Struthio camelus: one gene and its partners. The main gene of each other region encodes a partner of the protein of the gene in region 3 in a complex. Links are inferred from orthologs where the notes say so. Each region holds a gene or a part of one and is shown on either strand. Other genes may lie near its edges.

Region 1 (7,555 bases), on a different chromosome or scaffold from region 3:
CACGAGCTCCCAAACATCAGTTCTGTCCTGCCTAGCACAGAGGGCTTCCCATGGTTCTCCCAACAAGGAACAGTCAATCACTAGAGTTTATCAGTGGTCCTGATAAAACTTAAGTTAAATGCATGAATTAGGCTGGGATTAAGAGTCAATGAGATAAACCAAGGGGTTCCAGACAGAAACTAACACTTTGAGATCCCTCACTGACTCATTGTACAGCTTTGGCAAAGTCACTTCATTAATCCGTGACCTTTCCTACCAGTTCCGTGTATGTCTTTTGAGGATTCATTAGTTAATGTTTGCACAGGACTGCTGAGATGCAGACAGCTAGAAGTGCTCAGCCTCCCAGTAAGTTGGTTTAAGATCTCTGAGCATACAAATGCAAAAAAAGGGGTGTTCTTTTCAAATGTCAAGCCTGAAAACAGATCAGAGACAGTAAATCTAGATGTTGCCTTCTCTTCAGAACTGTTTATCACAATGCTGCATTTTTTTTTTCTTTAGAAAACTGCACATCAACTACACACAGAGCTTCTAAGGGACTAGGTACGTCTCCCTCCTCTCCTCCATGCACTGAAATAAACAAACACTGTTTGTGAAACAGAGGGTTACAGTTTGAACATAGGGAGAGAGTAAGCAGGAAAAGATGGTCTGTTCTCTACTCTTCCCCAGTTTAGAATGGATGATGGTAAGTAGAGAAATTTTTTAATGGTCACTCAGTGAGGGTCTTCTCCTTCCCTTCAGCTTATCTATATTCATCTAAGGTATCTCTCATGAAAATTAATCTGATTTTTATTTGGAAGCTAAAAATTTCAAGTGAAAAACCTACAGCAAATAGGTTAAAGGTTTAGCAAGATTTCTCTAGACCTTCTAAAGGCATTCAATTTGAGGCACTATTATTCAAGGCAGCTATTAACACTGATTGTTGACAGCTTAACTGACCGCAAGTTCAATGCACAATACATGTAGACATGGGAACTCCATATTCCAGAACAGCAGCAGGAGCTGAGAAAAAGGAGCGCACCCAAGGGGAAAGTTAAAAAAAAAAAAATCCAACAGTAAACAGGTGCTTAAGGGCAGCTTCAACCTTAAACATTTTAACATTTCAGTATTGCACAAGATCTAGCTAAATACAGACACATTGTCAGTCTCCAGCTATTCCCACTACGCTTCAATTAACAAAGGAATAATAGTAGCACAATAGATTTCTGAATATAGCTGCACAAACCTCTATTTTCAGATCTTTTGCTCTCAGTACAAAGAGAGGACTAGAGGGATGCCAAGAAGAAAACATATTCAGCTTCACGTATTTGTTACAAAGGAAGGCTATTTCCATTTTCCTCCTCCTTATGCATCAGCTGAGAATCACTGTCAAACATCTACGGAGACGTTTCTAATCCTTCTCTGTGCTGGAGAACGTGTATGTTAGGAAAGTACTTAATCCACAGAAGAGAGGCGGCTATTACAGCATCTCTCGAGTACTTAGAGCATGCAGGAAGAGTGAAGTGTTATCTGCTTTCACCATAACATCTGCATAGCAAGGCAGCGCGTATGCTTATGTGCAGTGTTAGGAATATAGGAAATTTTTTTTTAATTGGGTTTTCAAGTCTCTGTTTGAATGGTTAAGGGCTCAAATGAACTAGCTGGAAAAAGGCTCACTAAAATTCTCTCTGACTCAGGGGACGATAACAGCCAAGAAACAACTCAGATTTAACCACGGCCACCACAGAGCTGATGCAAGGGCAAGGGTGTCTTAAAGAATGCCTTCACTGAGATTTTTTTTCAACCTTCCTCCTCCCTTTACCCACACAGTTGTGCAAAGACACCACAGTGTTCTCCTTTAACCAATATTAGGATTTAAAATTAGCAAATAGGGGTATGACCTCCTCCTAGGTTGCTTTTTTTCCTCCCCCTCCTACTTAAGAGGGCAAAGCCCAGAGTGAGTGACACCACTAGTCAACGAGAACAGGAACGGTACATTAATAATCCTTCGTCTGTAATTACGTGGTGTCTTAATGTCTGTAATATTGTTACTGGTTTTCAGACCATTAGCTCAGTTAAGAACACAGTTTACAGCAGAACTTGCTGTAAGTAATGGAAAGCACTAGATGAATTATCATTTATAAACAGAGCATATTGCTCAGATAGTGCTTCTGAGACACAGCTGTGTGGTTTCTGACGGAAAGTTAGGCAGGTGCGAGGCTGCAACCCAGCAAGGAACGGCCACGTTTCAACTGTCCCTTCCTACTTGTTTATTAACAACCTCCACGCAACCGCTAGCCGTGACAGAGATGGCACAGATTTCTTGCAAGTCCCCCAGAAGCCCTTCGGTTCTCATCAGACCGGAGGGGATGCCCAGTCGGTCGAAAGCGTACCTCCGTAACTCGTTCATGACCTTGAATGCCTTTCTCATGTGAGAGGGGTTGACCGTCACCGTGCGCTGCTCCTTTTCGTCTTCGGCTGCCTCAGAGGATCGGGAACTCTGCTTAACGCTAAAAATAGGGATTAGAAAAAGAAAAAAAAAGAAAAAAAAAAGGAATAGAAAGTTTGATTTAATGGCACTAAAAAAAATGAACCGTAAAACTGCCACGGAGGGCAGTGCACGCACGGAGTTATTTGTATGTCTGTCAGGCAGCCCAGGTGGGCCATACGCAGAGCATCAGAGAAGGCAGCTACCTCCGCAGGGACGCCGAAAGCCAACCAGCCCACGTTTCCATCAGGAACAGAAAAAAGCACCAAACACGCGAGGACAAAGCCCAGCCCTACAGGCTCCGGTCCAGGAAAGCAGAATAAGCGGAAATCCAAGCCAAAACATAATTGCCTCACTGAAGAGGAACAGACTTCAGCACTGGGAATTACGAGAGCACCAGGAATACCTTAACATCCACACAGAGAAACACAAGTTTAGTTTTCAAATTCCCACCTGAAAAACGCAGGCAGACATATATGACCTGTATCTCCTTCCACAGAGGAAAATCCAAAAAGGGCTTTCACAGCTCCCAGAGCATCAGCGTTACGGAAGCCCCTTCTCATTTCCACTCCAGAAATAGGTCTACTTAATGTCACTGAAACCTGTAGAAAGAATTATTAAACCAGAATTTCCTATCAGAACTGCACAGTATATAGGCAAAGTAAAATCAGATGCGCCCCATTACGTGCTGTGTTTAACCAGGCCAACAGGTGCCTAAGGCACAGACGCGTCCTCATTGCTTTGTGCTGAGCCCTGGCTCTTTATCCACAATCGACATAAGGTCGATATATCTACCTCTGTGATCTGAAAGCGTGTGAAATCACTCGGAGCTAAAGGTTTCCATCTGTGGAAAAAAAAAAAAGAAAAAAAAAATGCAGCACTTTACAGCGAGATTACTCATTGCTGAAATCCAGAGCCCATTCCTCCGACCTTCCAGCAGCCAAAAGCAAACAAGACAGGTCGAGCAAGGTGGTCCACGTCTAAGCGCAGCCCCAAGCGAAGGGCAGATCACCCTCCCCGCGCTGCCCGGCCCCGGACCACGCCGAGCTCCTCGCCTCCGCCACCTCGCGCTCGTCCTCCCTGGATGGGCTCGTCCTTCTTCCAGAAGCAACCCGCTGCACAGCGGCCAAGTTGCACGCGGCGGCAGGCACTGAGTTAGCACGGGTGAAAAAACAGGCAACGAAACAACCGGTTTTTCTGTGCCCAGGGCAAGCTGAACCCTCCCTGCTCCTGCCCGCGCCGCTAGCAGCCTTCACGCGCACGGAGCGGCCAACTGCTCGCTGGGGACGCTGCCAAATTCGGTTAAGCCTCAGTGATGTATCTATCAAAAGCCTGCGTTGAAATCTTCGGCCAAGTGAAATTCGACCGCAGCGTTCAAAACTGCAGCGTAAAGCCTTGCTTTTTAAACTGCCAAAGCTTCCCTCGCGGCGGGCCAGAGCCCAGCAGCGAGAAACGAGGCTCTGAAAGCGCGAGTAACTTCACTGAACTTTCGGTCTCCAAAGCTGAAACACCTACAGGAAGCCAAGAGAAAAGAAAAAAAAAGAAAAAAAAAAGTGAAAGAGGGAGGCAGCAGACACCTGCACGCAGGGCTCCGGGGTGGGAGCAGCTGGGCCTCCGCAACACGCTGCTTTCCCTCTCGTTCAAAGATTGACCTTACCCCATCCAAAAATCAACCGATGCAAACAAAAATCATGAGGTTTCTTTAATAAGAAAGACTACTACACCCTACTGAGATTTATTTAGTAGCATTTCGGCGCCAGAGAGCAAAGATTCGTATTGTCAAACTTTCCAGCCGGCAAGAGATGCAGGACAAAGGACGCGGCAAGTTTCACTGAACCCCAAAAGCAAATGTCAGATCGACCAGCCTCCATAAAGCTGCAACGCCACCAATATTGGTCTGTACGCTTTAAAAGCAAAAACCTTGCTCTGGAATTTTTAAAAAACGATTGACCAATTCCTCCTAAAGAGCGTGAAGAGCAACCTTTTAAAAACTGTCCTAAAAGACATTCTCACACTTGCTAGCACAGGTGGATTTCAGACTTTACCAAATACCTAAAGACTCACCATAAAAAAGTTCTGCAGATAGTCTGGTATACAATTTGATTCAAAAAAATCAGGATATGCTATTTAAAGTTTTTTCAAATGACTCACATAAAAAACATGTTAAAAAATTTAACAGCTAAGTGCCTTTAACTCATGCTTCAAAATGACTCAGCTTCCATAGATTTTTGTACCATTAATACAGTGGGGATGCCTTTCTCTGGAACAGTGATTTCACACTACCATACACATGCTCTCTGATACCACTGACACATTTCCACCATAAAAAGGCAAGGGCCTAAACTATCCAAGTAAATGCAATCTGCCACAAAGCAAAAACTACCCCGAGAGGAAGAAAATAATGCATTACATAACACTTTTCTGAGTATTCTCCTACAACACTAAAAATTGTTCTACTTAGGAATTACTCCACTATTTTATTAGCAGAACAAAGAAAAAGAACAAAGCTCTCTAATCAAAGGTACTGGCTGGGAACACCAGGACACGCAAGGGTCCCTCTCCTCCGTAATCAGATGTACTTTCCCTGGAGCACCTTTACATTCGAGCAGCGGCGTCCTCCTGCACCAGCAGGACTTGCCACCCGGGTGCCAAGAGCAATCTGTTCTATTCCTGGGCCATCCGAGGCCACGCGCTGACAACGATTTAGTTCCCCCGGGCTGGATTAATAACCTTGTTAGGGGCACAGCAGGATCCTCCCAAGATAAGCAAAGAGGCAGAGCGCCAGCCCCACCACCACCACCACCACCTCCTGCGAGGTCCTCATTTCAGCACTCCCCCCACATAAAACAAATGGACCTGATCTCAAAGTCCCAAATGGCATCAGGGAAGCTAATCAGAAGCCCCTTTACACCACTGTCCTCCTCTCCAAGACAAGACAGACACACTAGTAGGCCTTGGCCCAAGCTACCTGCAGGCACGTAGCAGGGCCTGTCTGAGCTCAGGCTGCATACCAACCAGCAAGAAGGTATTTTAAAAACCCATAACCCGTAGCTCTGCTGCATGCATGCATTAACTATAAAGTTGGGTTGCCTTAGTTACCAGCAGTAATTACAGATGTCTTTGTAGATTATGAGGAAGAATAAAAGCCTTCCTCTGAGCTAAACCGTCCCCTCAGAAAATTATTACTGTGCAGAGAGCTGGTAAACCCCAGGAACGAAAACGGTGACTCTGCCAACAATCAATTCCACCACTGGCTTCACTGGAGCCAGAAGTTCACCCTAAAGAAACAGCAGCTTTCAAATGAGCCTTCCTTCAGCGGTGGACAGGACGGGCTTCTGCTCACACTTCTGAGGGAACGTCCTCAGGGCTCAGCTCCTGACCTTCACATGGACACCACCAGCGTCTCTCCCACAGCTCGACCACGCTCTCGCGGCGGAGCTGCGTTGCACCACCCCAGGGCTGACCCAGGCACTGCCAGGCAATCCCGATCGCTCCAGGAGGAGGCAAGCCAGGACAGGGCCACCAAGGCTGGGACTGCTAGGACACCTCAGGACTCTGCTGCAGCTGCACGCAGAGGTCTGCGGTCCAGATTGCCTCGTACACATCGTGGAGCCCCTGGTGCTGGCGGAGGGTTGGCCTCCCGCGCACCACGGGACTCGTGGACCTGTGCACCTCCATGGGGTCGGACAGCCCCACCACCAGTGTCTGGAGCTACGGGAAGGGAGCAGCCACTGCAACGCCCGGCCAGGAGCCTTCAGGCAGGAACGCAGCCCCTGACACTGGAAGTGGGGTGGGTTGTTCATCCTCTCCAAGCACCAAGAGGCTTTTGCCGTCTGAGGCGGAGAGCCTCGCGCGCATCCTTCTCAGCGGAGGTCAGCAAAAAGTGCTCGGCTTAGAGAAATCAGTAAATGCACGTGCTGCTTTCCAAATGGCTCCAGCTTCCTGGGGTCCAAACGGTTTGGAAACCTGGCAGCCTCTTATGGCACACAGCACCCAGAGAAAGACAAACAGCGTGCAGTAGTTATCTTTTTGGTCTTTGGTACTGATGTTTCAGAAAGGACAGAGCCAAGGTTACTTGGGCGTCCTGAACTGGCCTTTCATAGCTTTCTGTTAACTGAAAAGTGGAGTGACATGTTAACTATGAACGTCCTAAGCCTACAGCACTTCTTTTGGGATGCACTGCCAAACATCGCTGTAGTCTTACTCTTAACTTTCTCACAGGTTTGACACAGTTCTGCTCTAAAAACCTAAAAGATACCCAATAGCTGTTCCTAGTCTTCAAAGCTTAAATGCTTCTGCTAAGACAAGTGAAGACCAAAATATTAATTTAGTCTTGACAGAATGCGGGGGAAAAAAAAAAGTAAGCTTTACCTTAACTGGAGCAACTTTTTCATGCAGAATCAGTAACTAAAACCATAAAGACTTTATGCCCGACGGTTCCATCCCTTGAGTCAGACAAAACAAAATAAGAAAAGGATGTCAGTGTGATGGCATATTTATAAAATCCCAACTTCTAGAATTTTCTTTGGGTCAATAGAAAGATATTAAAAACTGTGATTGAAGGAATCTAAACAGACAGATGGATTTGAGAGGATTTCAGAGAAATATTATCATTAAAATGTATTACAGGGAACATAATAGAAAGGTTTTTTGTTTTCATAATAATATTTATTTGCAATTTAGTTACAGGGTTTTTTTCAGTGCCTGAATCTACACTGAGACATCAGTTTAGTGGAATATGTAATTGGCAGATGACAGACCCCAAAAGGAACACTGATCTCAGAGGAGATCTCAGGAGAAACGCAGGCGCCGGGAATTACTGAGAAGAAGAGAGTTCTCTGACAATGCTGGAACCAACACAAAACGACGCAAATACGACAAGAACGTCATTTACCTTCTAAGGCAGGTATTGTATTTCTCAGACAAATAGTATGAAGAGATTAGCACCATTTAAAGGCACATTTAAAATTACAAGTTTTTTTTAGTTCTTTAACCAAAAATTCACATTCCTTTTTTTTTTTTTTTTTTTCCCTTTCCAAACTCAAACGCACCTTGCAAATTGAGAATCGGAGTGCACGCACCCAACCATAC
Region 2 (7,252 bases), on a different chromosome or scaffold from region 3:
TTTTGAGGAAGATGTATACAGTAAAGTAATACCTTCTTAATTCATTCATAACTTTGAAAGCTTTCTTCATGTGCCACGGATTCACTGTAACAGGACAGTGTTTTTCAGTGTTATCATCTTTCAGATCCAGTGGCTTCTGATGGCAAAGTTTGGTACATCTGGAAAGAAAAAAGAGCTAAGTTAATACTTCTGTAGCTCTATTTTATTCCTCGTTATCGGGGGGGGGGGGGGGGAGACAGGGAGCACTTCAACTTGTTCCTTACTTCAGCCAAATTCTACTGTAGGTCCTCAATACCAATGAGGTTGATAGAGGCATTCCAAGCTCACAGTAAGCTCCATAAACAAAACATATGGGCATGAAGCCATAGAACGTTTCTAATAAATTCTGAAATTCTAGGAAAAATAGAGGTCCTTAAACTTTTATCCTGCTGCCAGTCCAGATTCTCACCAGAATGAAGCATCCATTATTAGCAGCCTCTCAAAGTCATCACCCGTGTGCTAGAAATGAGCAGTCCTCTGCCCTTCCATCAGGACCTCCCTCACTGATTCATGCAGCTTCCAGGTTCTCTCTCCTGGCAGGAAGACCACATGATGACAACTGCAGTTTGTTCAGTCTTTTCCAACCAGTGACACAAAACATAAATTGGTATGACAACAATTGGGGAGTTTCACCGATCCACTCCATGCTTTGAAAAGCAAAAAATGATCCGACTCTTAACTATTCTTACACTTAAAAAAAAAAAAAAAAGTAGGAAAAAAAAACTCTGCAGTGTGATAATCATTAGCTCTAATTACAATTCTCCCTTTATACAAGCAAACTTAAATTCTGTAGAAAAATGATTAGATACATCTCTCATTTGCTAGGACTATCTAAATGGCAAGTGAATTTTTCAAGCCACGCCAACAAGTTTCAGGTCTATAGCCATGATGCTATTCTTACATGGTAAGTTACATTATTGCTGTATTTACTAAACACTTAGTATCAGTCACCTTTTCACCTATGCTATGTAACTTTATTCCCCAACCTCCAAACTAGAAATAAGCAAAGTATTTTTGGCACTACAGTCACTCCGTGGGGCAGCTGACTCTGGTACATCAGAGAGATGATTTCAAATAAAAACTTGATCTTACCTACTTGAAGTTAAAAATAGTTTAAATTTAACATATGCTTTGACTGCCAGAACTCCAATCTCTCTTCTACCAGACCTAAAACTTTTTCCTTAGGCATATCTGAAGAAGTTTTAAAGAAAAACTCAAGGATAATTAAAATTTTAATCTGGAATTCTATACCCTGTGCACTACAAGCAGCTGTAAACCAGCTGGCTTTATTTTTTAATCATTCCAAAACTAGTAACAAAACGTTGAGGTGAAACAGCATGAAACTGCATCAATCAACAAAGGAATAACAAAATGTGTGGTTAACAAAATAAGTTCCATCTACAGAATTCAAACCACTAGCAACTTACTGCACTCCACATCACACTGCTAAGAATTTAGTTTCACACTCAGTTGTGAAAAGGATACAAGTTATTTCTGAAAGGGGTCAAGTAACAGGACAATTTTTGCATCAGTCAGAAAAAGTCCATGTTACAGAACACACACGTGATGCTGTTCTGAGGTCCAAAAAAAAAGAAAAAGCATATTATCTAGCATACACCTTTAAACTGAATATTACCCTAGTGAGCTAGCGAGAAATCAGTGACATCAGGGAACATTCAGGAGACCACAGACTAACTGCGAGGTAGCGACCCAGGCTTTAAAGAAACTACTGATTTACCAAACTCAAGGAAGGAACATCTTCTACAGCACCTTTCCGCATCCCAAAGCGATACATCAGGTACTGCTGTGTACATAGCTGCACACATACACAGAGCACACACCTCGCACGCTGGCTGACGTGCAAGAAACAGCGGCAGGAGCTGCCCTTAGGGTGCGACCAAGCACCTAGGAGCAGTTCCTGGGAAGCTGAAAACCATTTGGTGAAGTACTGGAAAAAGGACCGGTTTGTTTTAAGGTAACGACACCCACAGAAACACCAGCGAGGTGCCTCCTGCTTTTAGGGCCGCTTTGTCTACTTCGAGTTATACGAGTCTGCCTTACAGTTTCACGAAGCAGGCCAAAGCTGTGTGTGAATGATCTTATTTAGTTCGTTTTTAAGAGCCTCAGCTACAAAGTATCTGAAAACACAACATCCTGAAGGAGGCAGGAGGAAGCTGCGCTGAACTGGAGCGCACAAAATCAGGGCTGAACCCAAACGAAGTACGGGGGCAACCGCATGGCCCGCTCCTGAAAAAGACGCTTAACTAAATAATCAGAAAACTCCAAGTGCGACAAGCATGATGACTGCTGAGTCAAGCAGGGAGTAAATCGGGAGCACAGAAGGAGGAAGCAGAAGGAGCGAGGGGGAGGAAGGGGAGGAAGGGGGGGGGGAACCGCCTGTCCCCGCAAACCGCGAAGCGTTTTTGAACTCCAGCGGCCCCGGCCACCCCCGCAACTCCTTCCTGCTCGCCGGCCACCAGCCCCGGGCGGAAGGTCACGACGGCCGGCCCCGGCCCCGGCCCTGACCCCGGCCCCGGCTACGCGCCGCCGGCCGGCCCCGCCGCGGCCAAGGCCCCGCCGCCTTCGGCCTCGCCTCGCCAGACCGCCAAAACCCGGCTTTCTGTCAGCAAAACGGCGGGCGCCGACGCCGAGGGGCCGGGAAGGCGCCGGGGGCACGGCTGTCCGCCAACGCCGCCACGACGGGGCGCGGCCGCCGCGCCGCCCCGCCCCGCCCCGCGCAGGTGCGGCAGCACCGCCGGGCCCCCGGCCGCCCACCGCCACCGGCCCTGCCGCGCCGCCCGCCCGCCCGCCCCGCGCACTCACACGGGCGGCAGCAGCATCTCCATCGCGGCTCCGCTCGGGCGTCCTGCGTGCAACGCGGGCGCCGCGCGCTGCCGCCAGCACCATGCCAACGGCACGGCACGGCACGGCACGGCACGGCACGGCACGGCACGGCACGACGCTGTGCCGCCCGCCCGCGCCCCCGGTGCTCCGCCCCGCCCCGCCCCGCCCCGCCGGCACCGCCCGCTTCCGGGTTCCAGCCCGCGCGAGGGCGGTGGCGGGCCGGGCGGCGCGGCACGGCGCAGGCGCGGCGGCCGGGGCCGGGGCGGGAGGCGCTGGGCGGGGGGCGGCGGCGGGCGGCCGCCCCGCTCCTTGTAACGGTCCCAGTGCGGGGCGGCGGCGGCGGGCTGCAGCGGGCGGCGGGGAGGGCGCCGCCGAGGCAGGCGCCTGCCAGGGCCGCGGGGGTGCGCCTGAGGCGGCCCTCGGGTACAGGCCGTGGAGGGGCACCTGCTGCTTCCCGCCGGGCCGGTCTGGCAGCTGCTGTGGCACCTGCTCGCTCGGCTTTGCTGCAGCTCGGGGAAAGGGCAGAGGGAAAGGTCTCGCAGGCGCGAGGGTCCGACGGAGGAGAGAGGGGCTTGGAGCACCGCGGGCTGCGGTTGGGGTGCTCTGGTTCACTGGGACTCAGCGGATCTAATGTGCTGTCACCTCGCCCAGCCCAGCAGGACAGCGACTGTTTTGCTCAAAACAGCTGCCTTCTGCCAGTCTTTAGTTACATAATCACATCCTTCCCTGAGGTTTAGGACTAAGTCGTTGAATTTTTTGTTTTAATGTTAGTTTAGGTAGCTTCTGTGATGCAGAATCTCTGAAGGAAACAGGACAGGGATCTATTTCAAATACTTGTCTTGGGAAGCTGCTCCGCTGCAAACCCTCAAGAAGACTACTGTGCTTAGCAATTTCTGTCTTGGAGGATTCTAGAAGATTTTACTGTACTTAAACCTCTGTAATTTACTTCCAAATCTTAAGGAAAGATTGTGCAGCGGAAGCAGAGGTGTTTATCAAGCTGAAAACAATTAAGGTGTTTATGACTGATAGTTTCAGTAAAAATAAAATGGTTCTCCTCTGGAGTGAGAGATTTGATTATCAACAAAGTTTATCTGAAACTAATAGATTTGCCACTAACTGACCAAAACTACTTTTCTAAAAGTGAGGGAAGTTTGAGGACAGCACGTTTGGAGAAGGCAAAATAGAAAATGGTAGTGTACTTCGGGTGAATGTTATAGATGGATACATAAAGCCTTCCCCAGTGTTTCTAATAAAGTCAGATATTATTAAAACTAAATGTATTTTAATGATGTATCATTTCATCTTTGCTAATCTTTAATAACATTCTCACTGGGAAAATGCAGTTTCAGTTTCTCTCTAAAATTATCTCTCCGTTTACCAATTCTCTTTCACTATACTGTGATGTTTAATTTGGGAACGCTTCAAAAATCTTTCAACAGGTTTCCACTGGAGGTTTTTCTAAATGGAATCATCACAATTGACAGTGCCTGTTTTCACAAAGCCTGTGCTTTGTAAGCGTTGAATTTGTCTCTTCTCAAGAGACAGCAAAGTTTGCCTCTGGGTTGTATTGGAGAAGACAAGCTACTTGTTGAAGATTTGAAAGAGAAACAAGAAAACCTGCTTGCATGGCAATCCGCTCCAAAGGGACCAGCTTGCAATAATGCACTCTGAAATGGAAGCTTAAAAGCGTCCTTTTCAGCCTGCGCAATGGGACATATTAGAGATGAGTTCTGAGTTACGGCTTCAAAAGCAGTCTGGCGTTGGTACGTTAGATTGTTACTGATCACTGTCACATCATACTTTCAGGTTTCTGTTTCCCAGAGTAAATGAGTTACTCTGAAAAACAGAGAGAGATCTTAGCTTTTACTGATCTGTGAGACCTAAGTGAATCTTAGCAGCAATCGACTGCACAGTTTAAGGCTTCATGTTAGTATACATAGTCATTGAAAGTTTGTCTGGGAGCTGAGGCAGGGTTTTTACACTACTTGGCTACAGCTCCTTCAAGCACATAGGCTGATTCTGCCTCCTGTTAACAAGGCAGAACTTTTCAGTAATGTTCATTCTTAAATTAACATTAAGCATTTCCAGCCTATGAGTTCTGTCATTTTTCTTGTAATGTTTTCTGGCTTTTCAACCAAATGTTTACTGTTAGTTTAAGAAACTTCTGTGATGCTTTACATCAGAAAGAAACACAAATGGGACAGTGATGTTTTCCCCCCGCCTAAAATTATGTCTTTGTACTTCAGTAATTCCTGAAAGGAATCATACACATATAAATGATTGTATCCAAATATGTCACATGGTTATGGCAAAGTAACAATCACACATCCTTCTCCAACCATGAGGAAATACATCTTTTATATACAGTAGTTGGATTTTTGTGAGATTTTGTTTGGTCTATTACCTATTCTGCGTAGAAAGAACTTTTAGAGAACAATTTACTTTACCTATGCGTGTGTGTATATATGTAGTTTTCAAAGGAAATAGGCCAAGTTTCTTACCTATGACAAAACAGCTGCCATTTTTGTTTAAGAAGCAGCAATTCGAATCACTACATTGACTGAGGAAATTCACTTTTGTGCTTAGGACTGCCCCTGTTCCGTTGGGGACCCTTGTTCCGTTCCCACTTGTTTTGAGGAGTTCGACAGGAATGCATCCAGCTCTGCGCTTGCAGGACAATGCTTATTAACTACTGCAGATTTCTTGGGATATATTGACACTAGAAGTACTTTATTGACACTAGAAGTACTTTACCAATATAGAAATACTGATATTGTACATCAGCAAAGTGCATCTGCTGAAAATGCAGCTATGTTAGCAAAGCGATACTTTCTAGTAAGACAGTCCCACAAGTAACCCGGTCCTACAAATGAAATAAGCAGTCCTGGTAAAAGTCAGTGTAACCCCAGGCATACATGGTGTTTTACAGACATCTTTAAGGGATCACACCAGGCTGACACGGTCATGCTGGAAAAAATCTGTATTAGGTTTAGCCACAGACAACACTAAAATAAACTCTTATTTGTATTTCTAATGGTCAAATCCAGATTAGGAGGACCTCTCCAAAAAAGAAAAAATAACTTTGTATTGAAGACTTGAAGTATTGCTCTCCTTTTGCTGCTGTTGCAAATAGAAAAAAAAAACGAGGTCCTTCCTCCCTTTGTTAGCTGTTACGTTATTTGTAATTTGTTAAAGTTGTATCTTACTGAATTTTGTTGTAGGTAATTTATGTTTAAAATGTAAGTAAAAATATATCTTTTTTGTTCAGAATCTTTTAGGGCACACATCCACTCTTTTTGCTGTGCATTTCGCCCCCAGTAAGATGAGCAACAGATTTTATACGACATGACCCTGCATCTATGTAGATCCACAAGAAATCACCCATGTGGAATTCATGGCAGGAATTCAGGTCAACACAGTCATTGCCTATTATTGCATTTTTTGCCTAACATACTAGTACTAGTATCAGCATTAATCAAGCGTTAACTAACGTTATAATGCATTATATAGTGTAAGAGACTTTTTTTTCAGAAGAATGGAATATTAAAAGTTTCAGAGAACCACTGATCTAAGGACATGAATGCAGTTGAGAAGAATTACATTGAAAAATAACATGCAAGGGAAATGCAAGAAAGTGCATGCAGCAGACAGAGGAGAAGGGGACCAGATTGCAGAGGAATATGTATTGGAGAGTAGGCAGAAAGAAGGGGAAAAAAAAGATACATAAGTCAAGAGTGTGAAGTAAAGAGGAATAGGAAAACAGCTCTATCAAAAATAAAATGTACTGTGACCAAAATCAGTTAAACACAATTAAGTTAAACACGATCAGTTAAACACAATTAAGCATGGATAAAAATATTTTAAATCTTTTACAGTATTATTTTTCAGTGTAGGCAATTGACGCATCGTACCACGAATGATCATCCTTAATGAAAACAGATGAAGGGTAATATTTATCTGTAGAAAGTTCACAGACCCTGTGATAAGGATGGTGTACAACTAGTAATTATGAACCGAGTTTCCACTGATTAAAATCAAAAAGGGTGTATTTCCAAAAATACTCGATATGGCACACAGTCTAGCAAACAGATTTTAAACGCTCTAATCCTAGTTTTGAAAAAAAAAAGGCAAATAAAAAAGCAAATGGTATGAAGCTTCTGAGTTCTGGAGAATGGGGAAGTCAAGTATTTGTGGTCAGTTCTGGACAGTACAGTGTTCATTGCAGACTGCAAGTTCATTTTAGTGTCATGGAAAAAGCAGTCCTAGTTCAAGCAAGCATTATGAATGGAAGCAAGCAGAGATCATGGTTTTGATTTGTACTACTACAGCAAATTACTGAGAAATTACAGTCGAAATTTCTATGAACACG
Region 3 (7,837 bases):
CCCCACCGCCCTCGGCACCTATCAACTGAAATAGCCTCGGACCTAAAGCTGGAAAGCGTAAACAGGTCGCGGCGGGTCTGCGGGACGCGGGCAGGAGGCAGGGACGGCCGCGACGCCGAGGACGGGGGTCCCGCGGGAGCGGCGCAGCCCGTGCCTCCGGACGGCCGGCGCCGGGCGGGAGAGCGAGGAGAGCTGCGATTTGGGATCGAGGGACGTCGCAACGGCCGGACAAGGCTCTCAGAGCCGGAACTGCAGGTCAGGGCTGAGGTTAGGTACTCGGTTATATTTGAAAGGCAATAAAAGGAGAACTGTGAAAGACACGGGACAAAGCTATTTTTAAAAGGGCAGAACCACAACCATTTTTATTTGCGGTTACAAATCCCGTATTTGTGTCACAGTGTCTGATTCTTTGCATGGTTGCTGCAGGAAAACAGACTTTTAAAAGTCTGCCTATATGCTTTCAGACCCGAATGGGACGTGGGTTCTGGGACAGGAGCCACGGAGAGCGAGCAGCTAGGGGCAGGGCCGGCAGGCAGGAGGTGGCGGAGGGGAGGAACGGGGAGAGCCACGGCGGCGGGAAGGGGCGCTGCGCCGGGCCGGCCCGCGCCCCGAGGCCCCCCGCGCCGCAGGAGGCCGAGGGCCGCCAGCTCTCCCCGGCGCGGCGGGCACGCTCCCGCGTGGGCGGCTGCACCGCGCGCGAGCGGCTCCCCGGCCCCACGGGCGCCGGCAGCGGGGCGATTCCCTTCCTGCAGCTGGGGGACGCAGCCCGGCCACCCCCAGGGGCGTCTGCCGCAGCGGGGCCGGGGGCTTGGGGCTGCCAGGCAGCGCCGTGCAGCAGCGGGACCTGCCACGCACGCTAGCGGTGAAGCCGGGAGAGCAGGGACGCGCGTGGGCAAAGACAGGGCGCAGACCCACGACGGTCTGCCGCGACGCCAGCCGGGCACGGCTGACTCGCCCAGAGAAAGCCGCAGGGTTTAGCAAGAAACGTCCTTCCTTGTCAGGGCCAGACCGGTTTTCTCAGCAGCACGCGAAGGGATACGAGACGCAAGTGGAAGCGCGGGAGCACTGCAACGGGACGAGGTGCAAAGCGAGGGTGGGACACAGCATGCGCTCAGCGGGCAGCTGGAGCAGTTGTGCAATCCCGCGACGCCGGGCCAAGGCCTCACCTTCCTCGCTAACAGGGAACACCGAGCCCTTCCTGAAAGCATTCACCATTACCTAAGGATCTCTGCTTCCATTGCCAGGCTGCAGCCGTCCCCAGGGATGCAGCAGCGTGCAGCTGCACCAAGGTTTTAGGAACAAGACAACAAACTTGCAAGACACGTTTTTCTGTGTAAACAAGGACTTGGACCTTCCAGCTACAATAGCCACCAGGGCGAAGGAGCCCGTCCGAGACTTTGGACTTAGCGGAAGCCCCTCCCCAGGGGCTCTGCGGAGGAAGAGGGAGCCCCGCAGCAAGACCACCCACGCGCGGCCTCACCCGAGCGGCGAAGGCGTTAGGGAGCCGACCCCCCGCTGCTCCCCTTCGCGCCCTGGCGTTAGCGTCCCGCGGTCGGGCCGCAGGACAGCGAAAGGCACGGCGGGACGCGGGGGGAGACAGGGGCCAGCGCAGCTGCTCCCAGACCTGGAAAGCCGCAGCTGCAGGCGCAGCTAGCCAAGCGTGCCGGCCGCGCGGCAGGGACCTCGGCGCCGCAGGTGCCTACGGACAGCGCCGCAGTCAAGGACGAGCGGCCGGCGCGCACCAAGGACGCGCTGTACCCTGGAAGCAGGCTCAGCACCCAGCCTCAAGCACACTGCGAACACGTGCCCAGCGGCGTGCCCGGGGCTATCGGAGCAGCCCGCCAGCCCTGGCGCAGAGCCACGGGCCGAGGAGAGGGCGCTGCTGTCCCAGACCGCCCTTGCCAGGGGCGAGCGCAGGGCTCAGCCCCCAGCAGCAGGGCTGGATCCACCCGCGAACTCCTGGAGCGGGACCGGCACGGGCAGCGCGGGCGCACCAGGAGCGCTGCCACCGCGCAGCCAGCAACACGGCGAGTGGAAAACAGCACGTGACAGGCGGGAGGGCTGGGAAGCGCCGTGTTAAGCCCGGAGCTGGGCCCAGGCCAGCAGCCCCCGCGCGGCTCCGAGGCGCCGGCCAGCACGCAGGCACCTTCGGGGAGCGAGGGAACCTGAGCCCGGCTGCAAGGACCGCGTCCTGCTCGGCTGCTGCAGCCGGCTGCGGAAATGGCACGGACACGACTAACAACCGCCCGTGCGCTGCTCTGGGCATCCCAAGGGGAGCTGCCTCGCGCTTCCCCCGCGCAGCGCGGCCGCCCCGGGAGGCACCGGAGGCAGCGAGAGGGATTCACGGCTGCAGGGCGGCTGCAGGCGCCAGGGCAACCGGCAGGGGAAGAGCTGCCAAGCGGCCCCGGCTACGGCCCCTCCGTCGGGGCGGGCAGCCCGCGGCGGCAGCGCGGAGGGGCAGAGGCGGCCGGGCCGGGCCGGGCCGGGGTCGGGGCGCCGCCGCCCAGGTGCCGCCCGCGGGCAGGGCTCCCGCAGCCCCCCGGCCCCGACCCCCGGCCCCGGCCCTTACCTGCAGCTCGCACCAGGCCACCTCCACGGTGGTCTCCGTGTCCAGCCCCTTGTAGACGGTCTTGAAGGAGCCGCGGCCGATCTCGATGTCGAACTTGAGGAACCGGCCGTCGGGGGAGGTGGCCACGGCGCGGGTCTCCACCTCCTCGCTCTCCGTCTCCTCGGGCTCCCGGCGGCGCCCGGCGGGCGGCGGCAGCGGCGGCGGCGACCCCCCGCGCCCCGGCCCCGGCCCCGGCCCCGCCGCACCGCGCAGCAGCTCCAGCTCGGCCGAGCTGCGCCGGCTGAAGCGGGCGGAGGCGCGGCGCGACTCGCGCCCCGAGAGCCGCCGGCCGCGGCTGCGGTGCGGCGCCCGCCCGGGGGCCCCCGGCCCCGGTCCTGGCTCCGGCTCCGGCCCCGGCCCCGGTCCTGGCTCCGGCTCCTCCGCCGCGCCGCCGCCGCCCGCCCGCTCCGCCTCGGGCTGGGACATGGCCCCGCCGGCGGCGGCCGGCTCCGCCGCCAGCATCGGCCCGCGGCGGCGACGGCGGCGGCTCGGCCGCTCCCGCGCAGCTTCGCACCTGGCGCCGCCGCCGCCGTCCGCCCGCCGAGCCCCGGCCCGGGCCCCGGCACCGGCCCCGGCCCCGGCCCCGCCCGGCGGCACCGCCCCCGGCCCGGCCCGGCACCGCCTCCCCGCGGCCACCGCCCCCCCTGCGCCGCGGGAGCGGCCCCCGCCGGCCGCGGCACCGGCACCGGGCTCCGTGCACCGCGCACCGGCACCTGCACCGGGCTCCGTGCACCGCACACCGGCACCGGCACCGGGCACCGGGCACCGGGCACCTGCACCGGGCTCTGTGCACCGCGTACTGGCACTGGCACCGGGCTCCGTGCACCGCGCACCGGCACCAGCACCGGGCTCTGTGCACCGCACACCGGCACCGGCACCAGGCTCCAGGCACCGGGCACCGGGCACTGGACTCTGTGCACCAGGCACCGGCACTGAGCTCCAGGCACCGCACACCAGCACCTGCACTGGCACCAGCACCGGGCTCTATGCACTGGGCACTGGCACCCGCACTGGCACTACACACCCGGACACCACACACTGGGTGCCAGCACCCACACCAACACTGCACAGCCAAGCACCAGGCTCCACGCACTGTGCATCAGCACTGTGCACCCAAGCACCACGCACCCGCCCCAGGCTCCATGCCCTGGGCACAGGCACCCGCACTGGCACTGGGCTCCATGCACTGGGCACATGCACCACACACCAGCACCGGCACAGGCACTAGGCACCAGCATGGTCATTGTGCACCTTGCACGAGCACTGGCATGGGCAGCGTGCATGGGCAGCGGGCACCAGCACAGGCACCAGGCTCCACGCACTGGGCATGGGCATGGGGCAGCAGCACAGCTCACCAGGCACCGTGGCCCAGGCAATGCACACCACGCACAGGCACCGCACACTGGGCACAGGCTGCACGTGCTGAGCACCGGTTCTGGGTAGTCTGCACCAGGCACAGGCACTGCGTGCAGGAGCTGCATGCAGCGTCCCTAGCCCCCAGCACCGCTCTGTGCACGGCCCACAGTCCCTGGCACCCTGGCACTGGGCTCCGCACACCAGCACCAGGCACTGCATCCCAGGCACCAGGCTCCGCACACGGGCTGCGCGTGGGCACAAGGTGCTGGGATGGCTGCAGGTCCCAAGGCAGGGCATGTGCCCCGTCCTTCCCCTGCTGCAAGCCTAGCTCTGAGCCCAGCTGCTGTGCAACGGCCATCCCCTCCTTGCAGAGCTAGAAGCGGCTGCCAGCCCCTTTCCCTCCCAGGCTTGAGCCAGCGCTCTGCTCTCCAGCAGCGTTGGAAACAATCCTGGCAATGGGGCTAGTGTAATTGAAGCATCAGACAGGGTGACGCAGGCTACACTGAGCTGTAGGGAAGTGCTTGTTTTAGACATTTACTTAGAGCTTTTAACTTGAGATTTCAGAGCAGCGGGTTTACAAGAAACAGCAGCTGTCCCTCTCCCAGGTTGTGGGGAGCACCTCCTGCCGCTCGCTGTTCTGACAAGCTATCGGGTCCCGCGCCTGTCTGCTCAGCTTGACAGCCCATCCTCTCAGTTTGCTACTGGGTGAAATCCTAAAATTAGGGCCATGCAAATATTAAGGTATGAATGTCTGTTCCAGCCATGCACTAACCCAGAGCGCAGACAAGAGCTTGTTGTCTCTACGGTTTAAACTAAGAAGTTGTTCTACTTAGTGGAACTGTTTACACAAAATACAAAGCAATTGAAGCCGACATTAATTTATTTTCCCTAGGATCAGATTGTTTCTATTCAACGATAAGAGAAACATTAAGGGGAGGATTGAAATAGTAGCCCAGCAATGTCCTCCACACAGATTTCAAATGCTAACCCGGCGTATGCAGGAGGACAGCGAGTGATCCCTGGGCTGCAGCCCTGACTCACAGTACCGCTGCAGCCCACGTCTAGCACAGCTGCAGCCCCACAAATCCCACCCCCCGTCCGGGCGGGAGGAGGGAGACGCATTTAATGAAACGTTGTTTCTGCAGCAGCCCTGGATAGGCCGAGTGTCAAACTGCTAATCTCCCGGGCACAGGCAGGCTTGTGCTACCTTCACATGACCCCGTTCATTCATCCCTGCTTGCCCGGCTCGCAAAACAAAGGAGCCAGGTAAAACTGCCCCAAGAGGAGAATGTGATCGGATGTCTCTTTTTTGCTTGAAAACTGCTAATGTGCAGCCTGGGTTGGTGAGTTGAGAGACGGGACCACATCCTTACCTACATGCGGTGCTCCCAAGAGCGTGCTCAGGGCATGTGCTAGCGGGAGAACAGCCACCCAAGGCTGAAGCATGCACGTCTAAGGTCTGCCCCTCCGCAGCACTCCGCTTGGTGCCTCCTGGGAGGAAGTGCCCCTTGTCCCAAAGCACCAGAGGCTGATTGTTGCCAAAGACAAAAGGCCAGGACAGACGGGCTGATAGGTGTGGCACACACAATGTTCCTGGTGTGGAAGACTGTTGTGTTGTAAAATATGACACAGTTGGACTCCACTCTGCCAAATGAAGTGTTTTATTCAGATGCACCGTTCTGCCAGGGCAAAAACATCTGCCCTTTTCACCAGATCCACATCCAGAAAGGGGGGGGTATCCCAGCTCCCCACGCAAACGCCTCCCACGTGGCATCTCTCAGGCTTCCCGCTTCCTACTGACCTCTCTCCTCCAGCGTCTTGCAGGCTGCACAAAGTTAAAGAGCCCGTGCACAAGCCAGGGGACCATCTGCCAAAGCCCCAGGGGAGGCAGGAGGAGGAGACACGTGAAGAACCATCCTTCATGCCCCATCTTTTGACTTTCACCTCTCCTCCAGAGCCCGTCAAAGCCGCGGGAAACAGGGCTGTAGCTTTCCTACCCATCTAACATATGTCAGGTTTTAAAAGTTCCCTGCTTAAAAAGTAATTGCTTTTACTTTTATCCGGTCCTGACTGCAGCTCTCAGCAAAGCCGGAGATTTCAGTCTTTTCTAGCTGAAAATCCTCCACTTGATCCACAGAGCAGCGAGGGGGAACGTCGAGTGTCGTTCTACAGCCGCCAGAACGGAGGCGAATCCGGACACCGCGCAGCTCCGGCGCAGCCGCTGGGGCCTGCCCCTCAGGGTGGGATATCGATCTCAGCACCACTCAGCGCAGACCGGTCGCTTCCTCAATTAAATAGGAAAATGAATCTATCCGCAGAGAGAAATGCTGCTGCTCTGCAAGGGAATTCCCACCACCTCCGACACGGCAAGCGCTCCAGGGACGGCACGTTCGGCTGCTTCTGGCCCCGGGGCTGTGTCCAGAGGGAGAGAAAACCGATCGCAACTCTCCGTTCCCTTCTGCACAGGGCAAGAACAGGAACGACCACAAGAGAGACTGTTAGGTTCGCTACGGGTGCCTTCCTGACCCGGTCCTGAGGTAGCAAGCTGGACTCAGACCTGGGCTGAAAGCAGAAAGTTCCAGTCCACAATCAACAGCTCATTCCCAGTGCTCAGAAAACACACACAACACCCTTGCACGTTATCAGGGTGACGTCTCTCTTGGGCTTGTGGTGCCAGTGCCAGCCCTTCACTTTGAGGAACCGCTGTAATCAGGCAATTTAACCTATTTTTCGCATGCATTTGGCTGCCAGGAAGAGAACAGGGGACTGTGTAATCACTCTCCTTGGGATTAGATCACTAATCAAAGAACTGTTCAGCTAAGCGCGCCGGTGTCTCCCGTGCTAGCTCCAGCGAGCGCTGCCAGAACTTGTCCGTTCTGACCTCAGAGCTCCTGGCAGCATAAGCGAGGGGCCAAGACGGGTCCAGACACAGAGGAGGTCTGTGTACCTACGAACCTCCTTCAGCCAGTGGTGCCCAGGTGTCTTCTGCATGAGACGGGGATACCCAGTTCAGACTGGACAGCACGGCAAGTGAAACGGCAGATCTGGCTAGTCCGACAAGTGAGTTGAGCTTCCTGGATTTGCCTTAACCGTTGCATATCTTGGAAAGGAGCAGGGAGGAGGCTTCCACTAATACACCCTTTCCTACTAGGAAACGTGTTGGGGCGAACAGGTCCCACTAAAACAGGCACGGAGCAGAAAAAGGCCTTTAGGAGCCAGAAGCAGAAGAAGGGAGCAGGACACAGAGAACGCGTCGCAGGACCAGCGGGAACGGCACGACCAGGCCAGAGCGGCACGAGAGGCGAGCAGGCGGAAGAGGCCAGCTGCGCGGCCCCGCCAGCCTTCCTTCACGCCACCCCTGCCAGGCAGGCGCAGGGTCCAAGCGCTGCCTCGAGCGTAAAGCAGGATAGTACCACCGCCCACGGATGCCGACAGGGAAGGGGACCCGGGAGCTGTTTCCTGGTGGGCTGCGGCACTGCATACCTGCTGGTGCCCCCTCCTCGCTCGTCTCCCTGCGGGCCATCCTTACCCTAGCGCACGTACTGCAGGGAGGGCGAGATGTCATTCAAACCTCAGTTGTGCCTTTAGCTCCAGGCAGATAAGTCTTCTCAGGATTTCCTCAGCCCAGAGTTACAGACGTAACCCGTGTACAAATTCATCCCAGGTTACGTGTTTATCAAACTGGAACAACTCTTGATCCTGACCAGCTGCACTAAATGAAAAAGCTCTGAACCGTTTCCTGCCCGCGAGCAGCGGGCTCGGCGCGTGCGTGGCCTGATAGCCCCTTATCTCGGCAGCAGGCCCCCGCGCTCCGCCTCGCCCTGGCCAGCGAGCCCGCAATCAACGCGGCCAGACGCGGCGGTGACCTCAGAG

Evidence for each region.
Region 1: the proteins of WNK4 (region 3) and KLHL3 are in contact, whole or in part, in a crystal structure (PDB 4CH9), measured with the Homo sapiens proteins. The link is inferred for Struthio camelus from reciprocal best matches to the Homo sapiens genes WNK4 and KLHL3. Residues at the interface, in NP_115763.2 of Homo sapiens: Glu557, Pro558, Glu559, Glu560, Pro561, Glu562, Ala563, Asp564, Gln565; in NP_059111.2 of Homo sapiens: Arg339, Phe355, Gly357, Ser358, Leu359, Arg360, Thr386, Phe402, Gly404, Gly407, Ser432, Tyr449, Gly451, Ser481, His498, Arg528, Tyr577.
Region 2: the proteins of WNK4 (region 3) and KLHL2 are in contact, whole or in part, in a crystal structure (PDB 4CHB), measured with the Homo sapiens proteins. The link is inferred for Struthio camelus from reciprocal best matches to the Homo sapiens genes WNK4 and KLHL2. Residues at the interface, in NP_115763.2 of Homo sapiens: Glu557, Pro558, Glu559, Glu560, Pro561, Glu562, Ala563, Asp564, Gln565; in NP_009177.3 of Homo sapiens: Arg345, Phe361, Gly363, Ser364, Leu365, Arg366, Thr392, Phe408, Gly410, Ser411, Thr412, Gly413, Ser438, Ser439, Tyr455, Ser487, His504, Arg534, Tyr583.

What each region holds. Positions count from the first base shown.
Region 1 is NC_090954.1:5,722,443-5,729,997, forward strand, and holds the start of KLHL3 (kelch-like protein 3), read right to left. Parts: upstream 3,061-7,555; 5' UTR 3,028-3,060; coding exon 2,918-3,027; intron 2,487-2,917; coding exon 2,370-2,486; intron 1-2,369. UniProt on the Homo sapiens protein: Substrate-specific adapter of a BCR (BTB-CUL3-RBX1) E3 ubiquitin ligase complex that acts as a regulator of ion transport in the distal nephron.
Region 2 is NC_090945.1:43,282,089-43,289,340, reverse strand, and holds the start of KLHL2 (kelch-like protein 2), read right to left. Parts: upstream 3,042-7,252; 5' UTR 2,886-3,041; coding exon 2,863-2,885; intron 2,384-2,862; exon of another isoform or gene 1,525-2,383; intron 1,231-1,524; exon of another isoform or gene 1,132-1,230; intron 573-1,131; exon of another isoform or gene 449-572; intron 159-448; coding exon 33-158; intron 1-32. UniProt on the Homo sapiens protein: Substrate-specific adapter of a BCR (BTB-CUL3-RBX1) E3 ubiquitin ligase complex that mediates the ubiquitination of target proteins, such as NPTXR, WNK1, WNK3 and WNK4, leading most often to their proteasomal degradation.
Region 3 is NC_090966.1:7,833,403-7,841,239, reverse strand, and holds the start of WNK4 (serine/threonine-protein kinase WNK4), read right to left. Parts: upstream 3,071-7,837; coding exon 2,570-3,070; intron 1-2,569. UniProt on the Homo sapiens protein: Serine/threonine-protein kinase component of the WNK4-SPAK/OSR1 kinase cascade, which acts as a key regulator of ion transport in the distal nephron and blood pressure.